Macaca mulatta: one gene and its partners. The protein of the gene in region 3 interacts with the protein of the main gene of each other region in a pairwise test. Links are inferred from orthologs where the notes say so. Each region holds a gene or a part of one and is shown on either strand. Other genes may lie near its edges.

What was found.
Region 1: the proteins of FHL5 (region 3) and BANP interact in binary tests that used the Homo sapiens proteins (3 or more experiments, as listed by UniProt). The two-hybrid records come from large-scale screens. The link is inferred for Macaca mulatta from reciprocal best matches to the Homo sapiens genes FHL5 and BANP.
Region 2: the proteins of FHL5 (region 3) and CREM interact in a two-hybrid assay, tested with the Homo sapiens proteins (2 studies listed by BioGRID). The link is inferred for Macaca mulatta from reciprocal best matches to the Homo sapiens genes FHL5 and CREM.

Annotation. Positions count from the first base shown.
Region 1 is NC_133425.1:83,365,786-83,369,440, reverse strand, and holds part of BANP (protein BANP), read right to left. Parts: intron 3,314-3,655; exon of another isoform or gene 3,313-3,313; coding exon 3,156-3,312; exon of another isoform or gene 2,691-3,155; intron 2,231-2,690; exon of another isoform or gene 465-2,230; intron 1-464. UniProt on the Homo sapiens protein: Controls V(D)J recombination during T-cell development by repressing T-cell receptor (TCR) beta enhancer function. Binds to scaffold/matrix attachment region beta (S/MARbeta), an ATC-rich DNA sequence located upstream of the TCR beta enhancer.
Region 2 is NC_133414.1:36,596,111-36,599,765, forward strand, and holds part of CREM (cAMP-responsive element modulator), read left to right. Parts: intron 1-2,724; coding exon 2,725-2,913; intron 2,914-3,655.
Region 3 is NC_133409.1:89,284,888-89,288,542, reverse strand, and holds part of FHL5 (four and a half LIM domains protein 5), read left to right. Parts: intron 1-42; coding exon 43-212; intron 213-3,655. UniProt on the Homo sapiens protein: May be involved in the regulation of spermatogenesis. Stimulates CREM transcriptional activity in a phosphorylation-independent manner.

The DNA of each region.
Region 1 (3,655 bases), on a different chromosome or scaffold from region 3:
ACTGGAAACTGGTCATCACACCAGGCCTGGAAGAACAGAGAGAGACCCTCGCACTTATTACTCTAACTTTTTAGTTTGTTGAGAAGAAAACAAGTCCAGAAAGGTTACGGGACTTCTCTGGGGTCACAGAGCTAGTTTCGTCATAAGGGCAGCAGACAGGCATGCAGTAACTCCAGTAATGACTCCACAGGTAATGGAACAGCAAGTGACATTTATTTTCTTCTTTGTACTTTGCTGCTTTTTGTATGTGTTGCTTTTTATAATTTTGTATGCATTACTTTTAGAATTAAAATAACTCCTTGTTCATTTTTAAAATATCACCATCAAGCTGGGTGCAGTGGCTCACGCCTATAATCCCAGCACTTTGGGAGGCCGAGGTGAGTAGATCACCTGAGGTCAGGAGTTCGAGACCAGCCTGGCCAACATGGTGAAACCCCTGTCTCTACTGAAAATAGAAAAATTAGCCGGTCATGGTGGCAGGCGCCTGTAATCCCAGCTACTCGGGAGGCTGAGGCAGGAGAATCGCTTGAATCCAGGAGACAGAGGTTGCAGTGAGTCAAGATCATGCCACTGTACTCCAGCCTGGCGACAGAGCAAAACTCTGTCTTAAATAAACAAATAAATAAATAAAGACATCACAATCAATCAACTGCAATGACAGGCCTTATGCAAGTCACAATTTTTGCATTCAGACAGGTAGAGTTAGCACAAGCCATGGTCGGTACACATCAAGTCAGATGATCCTAGAAGTCTTTCTTTTAAATAAAAATAAGGAGAAATTGGAAAGACATACACATCAACAATTTAAAAGCTGCTACAACCAGTAGGATTGTAGAAAATTTTTATTTCTTCTACTTTCTTGACTATCCTGTTAAACTTTATTAGATGTATACTTTTGAGATGAGGAAAGTACTTTAAACCCACAATGAATGCAAACATGCGTGACACACCAAGGTACCTGCAGCTGTGCACACCTTCTCCTGGGTCCAGACTGCAGGCTTTGTACTGGGCAGGCCAAGGAGCTCTGCGCACAGTAGGCTTTTAACAAATACTCAAGAAATCATAGTTCTCAGGCATTTAAGGAACAGAGATGGAACAAAATCAAGATTCGAAATTATTTCTCTAAGCTTTTTTTGGGCCACGGTCTATAAAGAGAGATTTATTGGGGAAGTAGGCTGTCAGAACTTTAATGGTTCTGAAATCACTGGAAATGATGTAACTGGAACAGTTTTCTTTTACAAGATTACAGTGTATGTTTTCTAAAGAAACTGTCATTTGCCTTCTAAACTAGAAACAGGGATTTGTAAAATAATGTGCAGTGATCGTGTGGAAAACTAACCAACAGCACTCCTGAAATGCTGCCTTCATGTTCCCCTGGGACTGCTCACCTCACCCCAAAACTATTTCTATTGCCCTCCCCTTCCAGACTACAACTAGTCTCCACATGTAGTTTTCTCGACTAACAGAGCAAACAGATCATAGGAATGGACATCAGACTTCCTTATGAGAGTTCTGAAAATTCTCTCTTCTGGAGGAATAAATTGTCAGCCTTTCAATTCGAACATTCCTGAAAGAATAACCAGGCAACCGAAACATTCAGTGACTTAGCTGTGGTGGGCTTGTCACTTCAAACTTAACAGAACAATAAAACACATACCACTTTACAGAAAAAAAAAAGAAGACGACGAAGAAGAAGAAATCTCTTTAAAACAGTAAGTGTGGACAAAGTGTTTTCACAGATGAAGAGATGAAGTTCCTGAAATTTAAGGTTTCATTTCTCAAGGGTCTCCTTTAAACAAGTTTATTATTTCAAAGTAGACATGTGCCTTTAACATCATTTTTTAAAATTACCAGCCTTAGCAAAGGTGTAGAAAAAAACGTGTTCTCAAGCACTGTGAGTGGAAGAATTAGTAAAACATTTCTAGAGAACCTCTCAGTGTCTTAACAAAATTTTAAACACACATAGCAATTTTCCTTCTGGGAACTTCTCTATTTGCCAAGATACATATGCAAGGATCTTCCCTATAGGGTTGTGTATAAAGGAAAAATCAGACAGACTATGCCAGGAGCCCCTGAAGGAAAAAGTCAACTGTGGAGGGGGCACCTGCGAATGAATTCTGCGGAGTTGCTAACAGAGCTGACTTTCACACACAACATGGTAAGGATCCACGACGCCGCACACAGGGGATTACACACACAACATGGTAAGGATCCACGACGCCACACACAGGTGATTACACACACAACATGGTAAGGATCCACGACGCCGCACACAGGGGATTACACACACAACATGGTAAGGATCCACGACGCCACACACAGGGGATTACACACACAACATGGTAAGGATCCACGACGCCACACACAGGGGATTACACACACAACATGGTAAGGATCCACGACGCCACACACAGGGGATTACACACACAACATGGTAAGGATCCACGACGCCACACACAGGTGATTACACACACAACATGGTAAGGATCCACGACGCCACACACAGGGGATTACACACACAACATGGTAAGGATCCACGACGCCACACACAGGGGATTACACACACAACATGGTAAGGATCCACGACGCCACACACAGGGGATTACACACACATCATGGTAAGGATCCACGACGCCACACACAGGGGATTACACACACAACATGGTAAGGATCCACGACGCCACACACAGGTGATTACACACACAACATGGTAAGGATCCACGACGCCACACACAGGGGATTACACACACATCATGGTAAGGATCCACGACGCCACACACAGGGGATTACACACACATCATGGTAAGGATCCACGACGCCACACACAGGGGATTACACACACAACATGGTAAGGATCCATGACGCCACACACAGGCATGGGGCAGGGGAGAGGGTGTAGAACACACACACACACACACCCGAGCAGCAGGAGCAGAGACAGCCCTCGAGACAAAGTGTGACAGGGGCCCCCTCCAGAAGGAACATGGGGCTGAGGCTGCAGGGGCGAGGGAAGGGAGGGGCCGACAATGTTCACATCTCTAGGATTCAAACTTTTTCATATACAGCATGCATTACTTTCACTTCTGCTTAAAGAAAAGAAAATAACTGCAGCAGCTTTTGGTTTTTCAAGAGTAATGAGAATATATTTCACCTACTGTCCCACAGCTCTGTACCTGGGTGGTCAGGGCTCAGGTCTTCCACTGCAATCTGAACCACATCCGCCAGGTCGTGTTCAGACATCATCCAGAGCACAGGAGAGTGGCCGGTCAACACGCAAGAGTTCCACTCGAAGAGGGGCTGGCTTTTGGTCACCTACCAAACAGAAGCAAAGGAGGAGGAGAGGACATTAACCATCGCCACATGTGAAATGATGAAAACCACGAGCCGTGCACATGTATGCAAGAGGCCGAGAATGTCTGTGGATTTTTACATGCAGGGTTCTTCTTGCCTCAAACCACCAAAAGGTAAGTTTCTTTGAAAATTAACAAATAGTTGAAAACGCCACCCGCTGCCTCATTCCTTAACCACTGGACAAGTCACCCAGGGCGTCTCTATTTCCACTGCATTCCTCATGCCCTTCCAAAGCCACCTTCCCAACACTGGCTTGGAAACATCCTCTCCCTCAGCTCAAGTCTCCAGTGGGGCCTGACTGCCT
Region 2 (3,655 bases), on a different chromosome or scaffold from region 3:
ATAATTACATTGGTGTTGAAAAACTAGGTTCTATGATTAGAATTTGAAACCATACCTCATTTAACTCTCCTAGATTCACAGGTGGCTTAAGTTGTTTATAATACCATCTGTCATGAGGAAATGATAGCCATTCATTCATTCATTCATTCTGTTTATTGAATGGCTGCTCTGTTCTAGGCTTTGTCCTTCTTTTTTTTTTTTTGAGACAGAGTTTCACTCTTGTCCAGGCTGGAGTGCAATGGCGCGATCTTGGCTTACTGCAACCCCTGCCTCCCAGGTTCAAGCGATTCTCCTCCCTCAGACTCTTGAGTAGCTGGGATTACAGGCATGCACCACCATGCCTGGCTAATTTCTTGTATTTTTAGTAGAGACAGGATTTCTCCATGTTGGTCAGGCTGGTCTTGAACTCCTGACCTCAGGTGATCTGCCCACCTCAGCCTCCCAAAGTGCTGGGATTACAGATGTGAGCCACCGTGCCCGGCCTAGGCTTTGTACTTCTAACACACCGTGGTTACCTGACCTTAGGCTGTTCTTTTCTAAAGCACTATTTCTGTGACATCAAATTAATTATCAACTGAAAAATACATATTGAAATATATGACAACATACAAAATTTACTCATGTCTAGCCACAAAGGGCCAAGAAAGCAGTGTCTTTTGACATTTTTATACTTATAAGAAGTTAGATCTCCCTCAAACCCTTTTACTGTGAGGGCTGAATCCTGAAACCCATGAAATCTTTGGAAAGCCATGGTTTAAAAATATCCTGTTTTTAAAGTATGTACAGAAAATACTGCTCTAGATGAGCCAGATAAAGTGCTGTTACATCAGGGTATCTCAGCCTCAGCTCTGTTGACATTCTGTAACTGACTTCAGTTTCTGCCACACTGGCCTGTCAGTGAAATAAAACACAGAGAACACAGCATGTGGAAATCTTTTTAAAAATGTTAATCTGTCTTCCTGTGTAGACACTGGCACCCTAGGTGAAAGAAGTGAAAATTTGTTGTTGTTACTCTTTCCATAATTCTCATAGGTTTGTCCTATGTAAGGTTATTACCTAAGTGCTTTTTTGCCTACATGCTATTAAAAATGTTTGGAAATGACTTGAAAGTATTCAGAGTATATTTTAAACACTACTTTACGCTACTGTAAGGCATTTACTTTGATGTATAGATGTCATGTTATTCTGGTGATGTGTTTTTAAAATCTTTGTTGTAAAGCCTAGTTAGGTAGTTTATATGTGATTTTTTAAAAAGCATAGCCTCTGGTACCATTTAATACCTACTATTTAAAACATGCAGTTGGAATCTTTATGTTAAAATATACAGACCTTCCAGATATTTTAAATAATACTTATCTATTATAGTGAAATTTTTGAAACAAAACATTTGATCAGTTATTCTTTGGAAGCTTCAAGTCCATTAATACGTCAACTTTTAAACATGACTGGCAAATCTCAGTATTTAAAGGGAATCTACCTCATATTTGTTGCCATTAGCTGTAGTTATTTGAGACACTTGGTAGAGATAAATATTGTAGCACAAATCCTTTTAGTAACAGTTACTTTTTAAGGACCTTTCCAACTTGACATTTTATATTTCAGGATTCTCCTGACAGACAAAATGGCAAAGATTACACTTTTCTAGACTTGAGCTTTATAACCAAAATATTTTAATATAAATTTATATATAAATATATGTATATTTATAACATATATGTTATATATGACATATATGACATAATTACATATATAATTATATATTTTTATATAAATATATATAAAAACATGTTGGTTATATATATAATTGTATGTATGTATTTCTTTTTTTTTTTTTTCTTTTGTAACGGAGTTTCTGTTGCCCAGGCTGGAGTGCAGTACCGCGATCTCAGCTCACTGCAACCTCCACCTCCCGGGTTCAAGTGATTCTCCTATCTCAGCCTCCCAAGTAACTGGGACTACAGGCGCCTGCCACCACGCCTGGCTGATTTTTGTATCTTTAGTAGAGATGGGGTTTCACCATATTGATCAGGCTGGTCTCAAACTCCTGACCTCAGGTGATCTGACCACCTTGGCCTCCCAAAGTGCTGAGATTACAGGCGTGAGCCACTGCACCTGACCTATATATTTCTTAAAAACTACTTTCTTTTGATGACAAATTAGAAAAGTAGTTAGCTGAATGAAGGTACAAATTCATTTTAATTGTAATATTAAATGGGAATTTTTCTCTTTTCTTTCCTTTTTTTAGAGACAGGGTCTCCCTATGTTACCCAGCCTGGCCTCGAACTCCTGGGCTCAAGCAGCCCTCCTGCCTTGTCCTCCCAAAGTGCTGGGATCACAGGTGTGAGCCACCACACCTGGCCTTAAATGGGAATTTTAAATGGTAGAAGAATGGTGTTTGTAAGGAAAAACATCTGAGAGAATGGAGAAGACCAGGAAGCTGGACTCTCCCTGTCTGCTTCTCCACTCTTCCTCTTGAGTGATGTAGTTAGCTGGATGCTAAGGAGTAGGAACACTCCATGGGCTCTATGAATCTCAAACAGTTATTTTCAGGTGTTTATAAGCTTTTCCTAGCATATTGTCCCATGACGAATTCAGCATAGAAAATAAGGGTAACCTGAGAAAGAAGCAATGGTAATAAATAGACCCAGAGTATATTCTTCCAGTAGGGGATTATTAAAAATAAATCTTGAAATTCTCTAATATTTCTTTTCTTTTTCTGTTAAGTTGCTATAGCCCAAGGTGGAACAATCCAGATTTCTAACCCAGGATCTGATGGTGTTCAGGGACTGCAGGCATTAACAATGACAAATTCAGGAGCTCCTCCACCAGGTGCTACAATTGTACAGTATGCAGCACAATCAGCTGATGGCACACAGCAGTTCTTTGTCCCAGGCAGCCAGGTTGTTGTTCAAGGTATATTTTATTAATCTAATACATTTAGAATACCTATGGATTACTATATCACACCACTGAGTGGTGATTTTATAGTTTTCTGAAATATATCAAAGGTAGATGGGGGGGGGTTGGGACGCACTTAAAAACGCTTACAAAAGAAATATTTTAATACATTAAATAGCAAATTAAGTTTTATCATTTTTCACCTTTTAGCAGGTTTTACTGGCTCTGGAGAAAGGCCAGATTCAGAGTAGCATGACAGAAAAAGAGAGAGAGAAACATGAATGAATTTTTTGTTTTGTTTTGTTTTGTTTTTGAGATGGACTCTCACTCTGGTGCCCAGGCCGGAGTGCAGTAGTGTGATCTCGGCTCACTGCAACCTCTGCCTCCTGGGTTCAAGTGATTCTTCTGCCTCAGCTTCCCAAGGATCTGGGATTACAGACATGTGCCACCACGCCTGGCTAATTTTTGTATTTTTAGTAGAGACGGGGTTTCACCACGTTGGGCAGGCTGGTCTTGAACTCCTGACCTCAAGTGAAGGCCTCAGCCTCCTAAAGTGCTGGGATTACAGGCATGATCCACCGTGCCCAGCCACATGAATGAATTTTTAAATTAAGTAAATATCCTTCCTTTGGGGATTGCAAATGTTGTACCTAATAGATTTATATTACCTAATCTGTGACAATTTAAGTATTCAGGCTATGATGCCCCAAATTTGAGTTTTTCCCCAGCTGTTACTTTCAAGTCTAATTTCTAGGTA
Region 3 (3,655 bases):
ATGCTTGACTTATACTAACAGGTCCTTAATTTTGGAGTACAGGTTCCCGCAAAATGGAATTTAAAGGAAACTACTGGCATGAAACCTGTTTTGTGTGTGAGAATTGCCGACAACCTATAGGGACAAAGCCTTTGATCTCCAAAGAGAGTGGCAATTTTTGTGTGCCGTGTTTTGAGAAGGAGTTTGCTCACTACTGCAACTTTTGTAAGAAGGTAATTTTCTACAGAGGGTGAAGCTTATGGAAACTCAGACCATTTCTTTTTAGCTGTATCATATATTTGGAATGAACTGATATTGTTACGCTATATCTGCAATCACACACCCATAGTAGTTTGGACTTTCAACATGTCCAAACCACTAATTGTCATGATGACGATAACCATCTTTTTTTTGTTAACCATAAAATTCCAGCCACAGTAAGAATTTAATATTCCAAACAGCTCAAGTGATTTGGTATTCCAGTTCATTGCACTGTTTTTTGTTGTTGTTGCTGTTTTGTTTTGTTTTTTTTCCTGAGATGGATTCTCACTCTGTCGCCCATGCTGGAGTGCAGTGGTACAATCTCAGTTCACTACAACCGCTGCCTCCCGGGTTCAAGAGATTCTCGTGCCTCAGTCTTCTGAGTATCTGGGATTACAGGTGCTTGCCACTGCATCCAGCTAATTTTTGTATTTTTAGTGGACACAGGGTTTCACCATGTTGGTCAGGCTGGTCTCAAACTCCTGACCTCAGGTGATCCACCTGCCTCAGCCTTTCAAAGTGCTGGGATTACAGGCATGAGCCACCACACCTGGCCCATTCACTGCTTTTATACAACATCTCACATATTCTGAGAGAAAGCACAGGTCTCTCTTTGAATACAGATGTTTCTTAAAAAATAATTTTTGATCCATTCAGTATTAACTGTTTCAGAGAAATATGGATTTGCCTCACAAAGTGACTAAGGGAACCAAGTTAAACAGGGTGTTTAACTCTTCACATTCTTTCTCAGCAATGCAAATGTCTTCTTGATTTGAAGCTTTTGTATTTCCTAAGAGTAGAGCAATCAGCTCAAGAGAGTGCCAAGATCATGGGGGACGTTCAGCAGACAAAAGACAGAAAGAAGACTAAGGGCAGCAAGTTCCTTCACTCCAGCTCCAGGATCATGTACAGCCTTCTGACTTGGCTTCCCACTCAAAAAACATTTTCTAAGAGAGAAAAAAAGTGATTTTTTTGAAGTAAACTTCATCCAATTCTTTTTTTATCCTCTAAGCTTTTATGTGAAAAAGTAGCTCTAACACCTTGATGAAGCCTGTCTGCATTCTATATAATATATATGGGATGTTCTCAAAGAAATCCTTGATCTCTGAGGCATCATAAGTTTAAAATGACACCATAAATTGTCATAAGAAAGCTGAATCATGAAAATACATTGAATTAGTATAGTGGTTTCAAAGTACTTTTTATCTATGGGCCACTTTGGGAGAACTCTTAAGCCCGTTTGTATATCTGGACAGCTGGAAGTCACACTACCACTTTCTACACACGCATATGTGAACACACATGCACATACACACACACATGCAGTGATTGTTTAACATGCATAACCAATACCAGTACTTCATTTAAAGAGGTAGCAATATACTATACTAAGTTATAATTATTAAATTATACAATGTTGATGGCTGAGAATTGCAATTGATGACAACATGATATAAAACAATCTTATGACTGAGACCTTCATTACTCTACCAAAACACTAGCTTAGAAAATGACTTTACAAGCAGCAATCAAGCCATATGACCATGTGACATATGAATTCCAAAGAATTACCAATGACAGCATTTAAAAACATGCTGGAGGTTGGGCATGGTGGCTCATGTCTGTAATCCCAACACTTTGGAAAGCCAAGGTGGGAAGATTGCCTGAGATCAGGAGTTCAAGACCAGCCTGGGCAACATAGTGAGACCCTGTCTCTATTTAAAAAAAAAAAAAAAGTTTAAACATTAGCCAAGTATGGTGACATGTGCCTGTAGTCCCAGCTACTTGGGAGGCTGAGGCAGGAGGATCACTTGAGTCCAGAAATTCAAGGCTGCAGTGAGCTATGATTGAGCCACTGTACTCCAGCCTGGGTGACAACGAGATCCTATCTCTAAAAAATATACAAAACTTAAAAATTAAAGAAATTAAAATCATGCTGGAAATAAAATGAATAGATTCATCTCACTGTTTTGAGAGACAACTGAGTTAGCCAATTTTAGACTTCATTTCTTAAAGCCTTAGACTAAAACAGTAATGAGATTTGTGAGAATTATCTTAAAATCATTTATTGGATACAATATAAAGTCTCTTTCAATGCTATAACAATTCAAGAGTGAAGCTTCTTTAGTACATCCATGCTGAGCACTGTCTGGGCCAAGTGCTAATGTTTCCCAGGTTATTGGAGCCTGTAACTATATTTAGGATATGATTTGAAGTCACCAAACATTTACAAAATATTTATATTGGGTAGTAGACAGATTATGACATACCGGATTATTTTTTATTTAGTTTTTAAAACCACAAGTCCTTTTCTAAAAAGCTGGATATGTTTTTGATCAAGATGATCCAATCTAAACAATTTTTTTCAACCCAAACCAAAACCCAAATATTTTCTTAAAAAAAAGAAAAAACGACCTGACAATCAGGCTCTTAGAACTTTTAAGCTCTAAAATCCATAGATTTTATTTTGTTACACTAAGATTTATTTTCCACCGGAAAGCAAATGATTTTAAACTACAAGCCCTTCAAATTCAAACTCCTCAAGGTTCAAAAGGAGTTAAACGTCCTCTTCAATTCTTCATCTGTCACCTACTGAGTGCAAAATCATTATTGCCTCCACTTTTTCAGAGAAGAAACTTGTTCTAAATCCTGGGATCAATCAGTGGTGAAAACCAAACTTAGATATTAGACTTCATCTTAACCTTCCTACCTCTTCAAAAGGAATGTAATCACAAGCAAACTATTTCTAATGTTCCAGAGTTTCTTGTCTCTAATTAAACAGTCTTTGGTGTATATATCAAGTTTTATTTTGCTGTGAATACATTTTTCAAGTTTCAGATCTTTTAAGCATTGCCTGCTAATCATTAGACCAAACAAATCAAAGGAATCATGAATTCTGCTGTGTCTGCTGTAGGGCATTGGAAGTCAGTAGGGAGTATTTTAAATTGCTTTACTTCCATCACACCATTATGCTTCTCATTTACTTATTCAGAATAGTATGCTTTTTTCCTCTAGGAAAATATCTTTCATATCAAATATCTTTAATTTCTAAGATATTTGTTATATGATTAAAAATATATTTAGAATAATTTTTTCACAAGTGTATGTCACAGACAAATAACATTTTTGAGTTTGTAAACAAGGAGGTGGCTTAAAATAGGCTCTATGTTTTACTATCTAGTTAATTTGATACAAAGGTTGTGGGAACCACCTCAGATATCCCATTGCTTCAGTCATTACAAAAATTTACAAAAACACATTCCAATATCTGCAGCAACTCTAAGAGCTCATTAGCTGTAAATTCAAAAGGTGATATGGCTTAAAAATAGTTACACGAGAAAAATTGCCCAATATTTATCCATCTGATTCTAAATAAAGATTTCTCAGCCTTTTAAAAAGTAGAATTCATGGATTA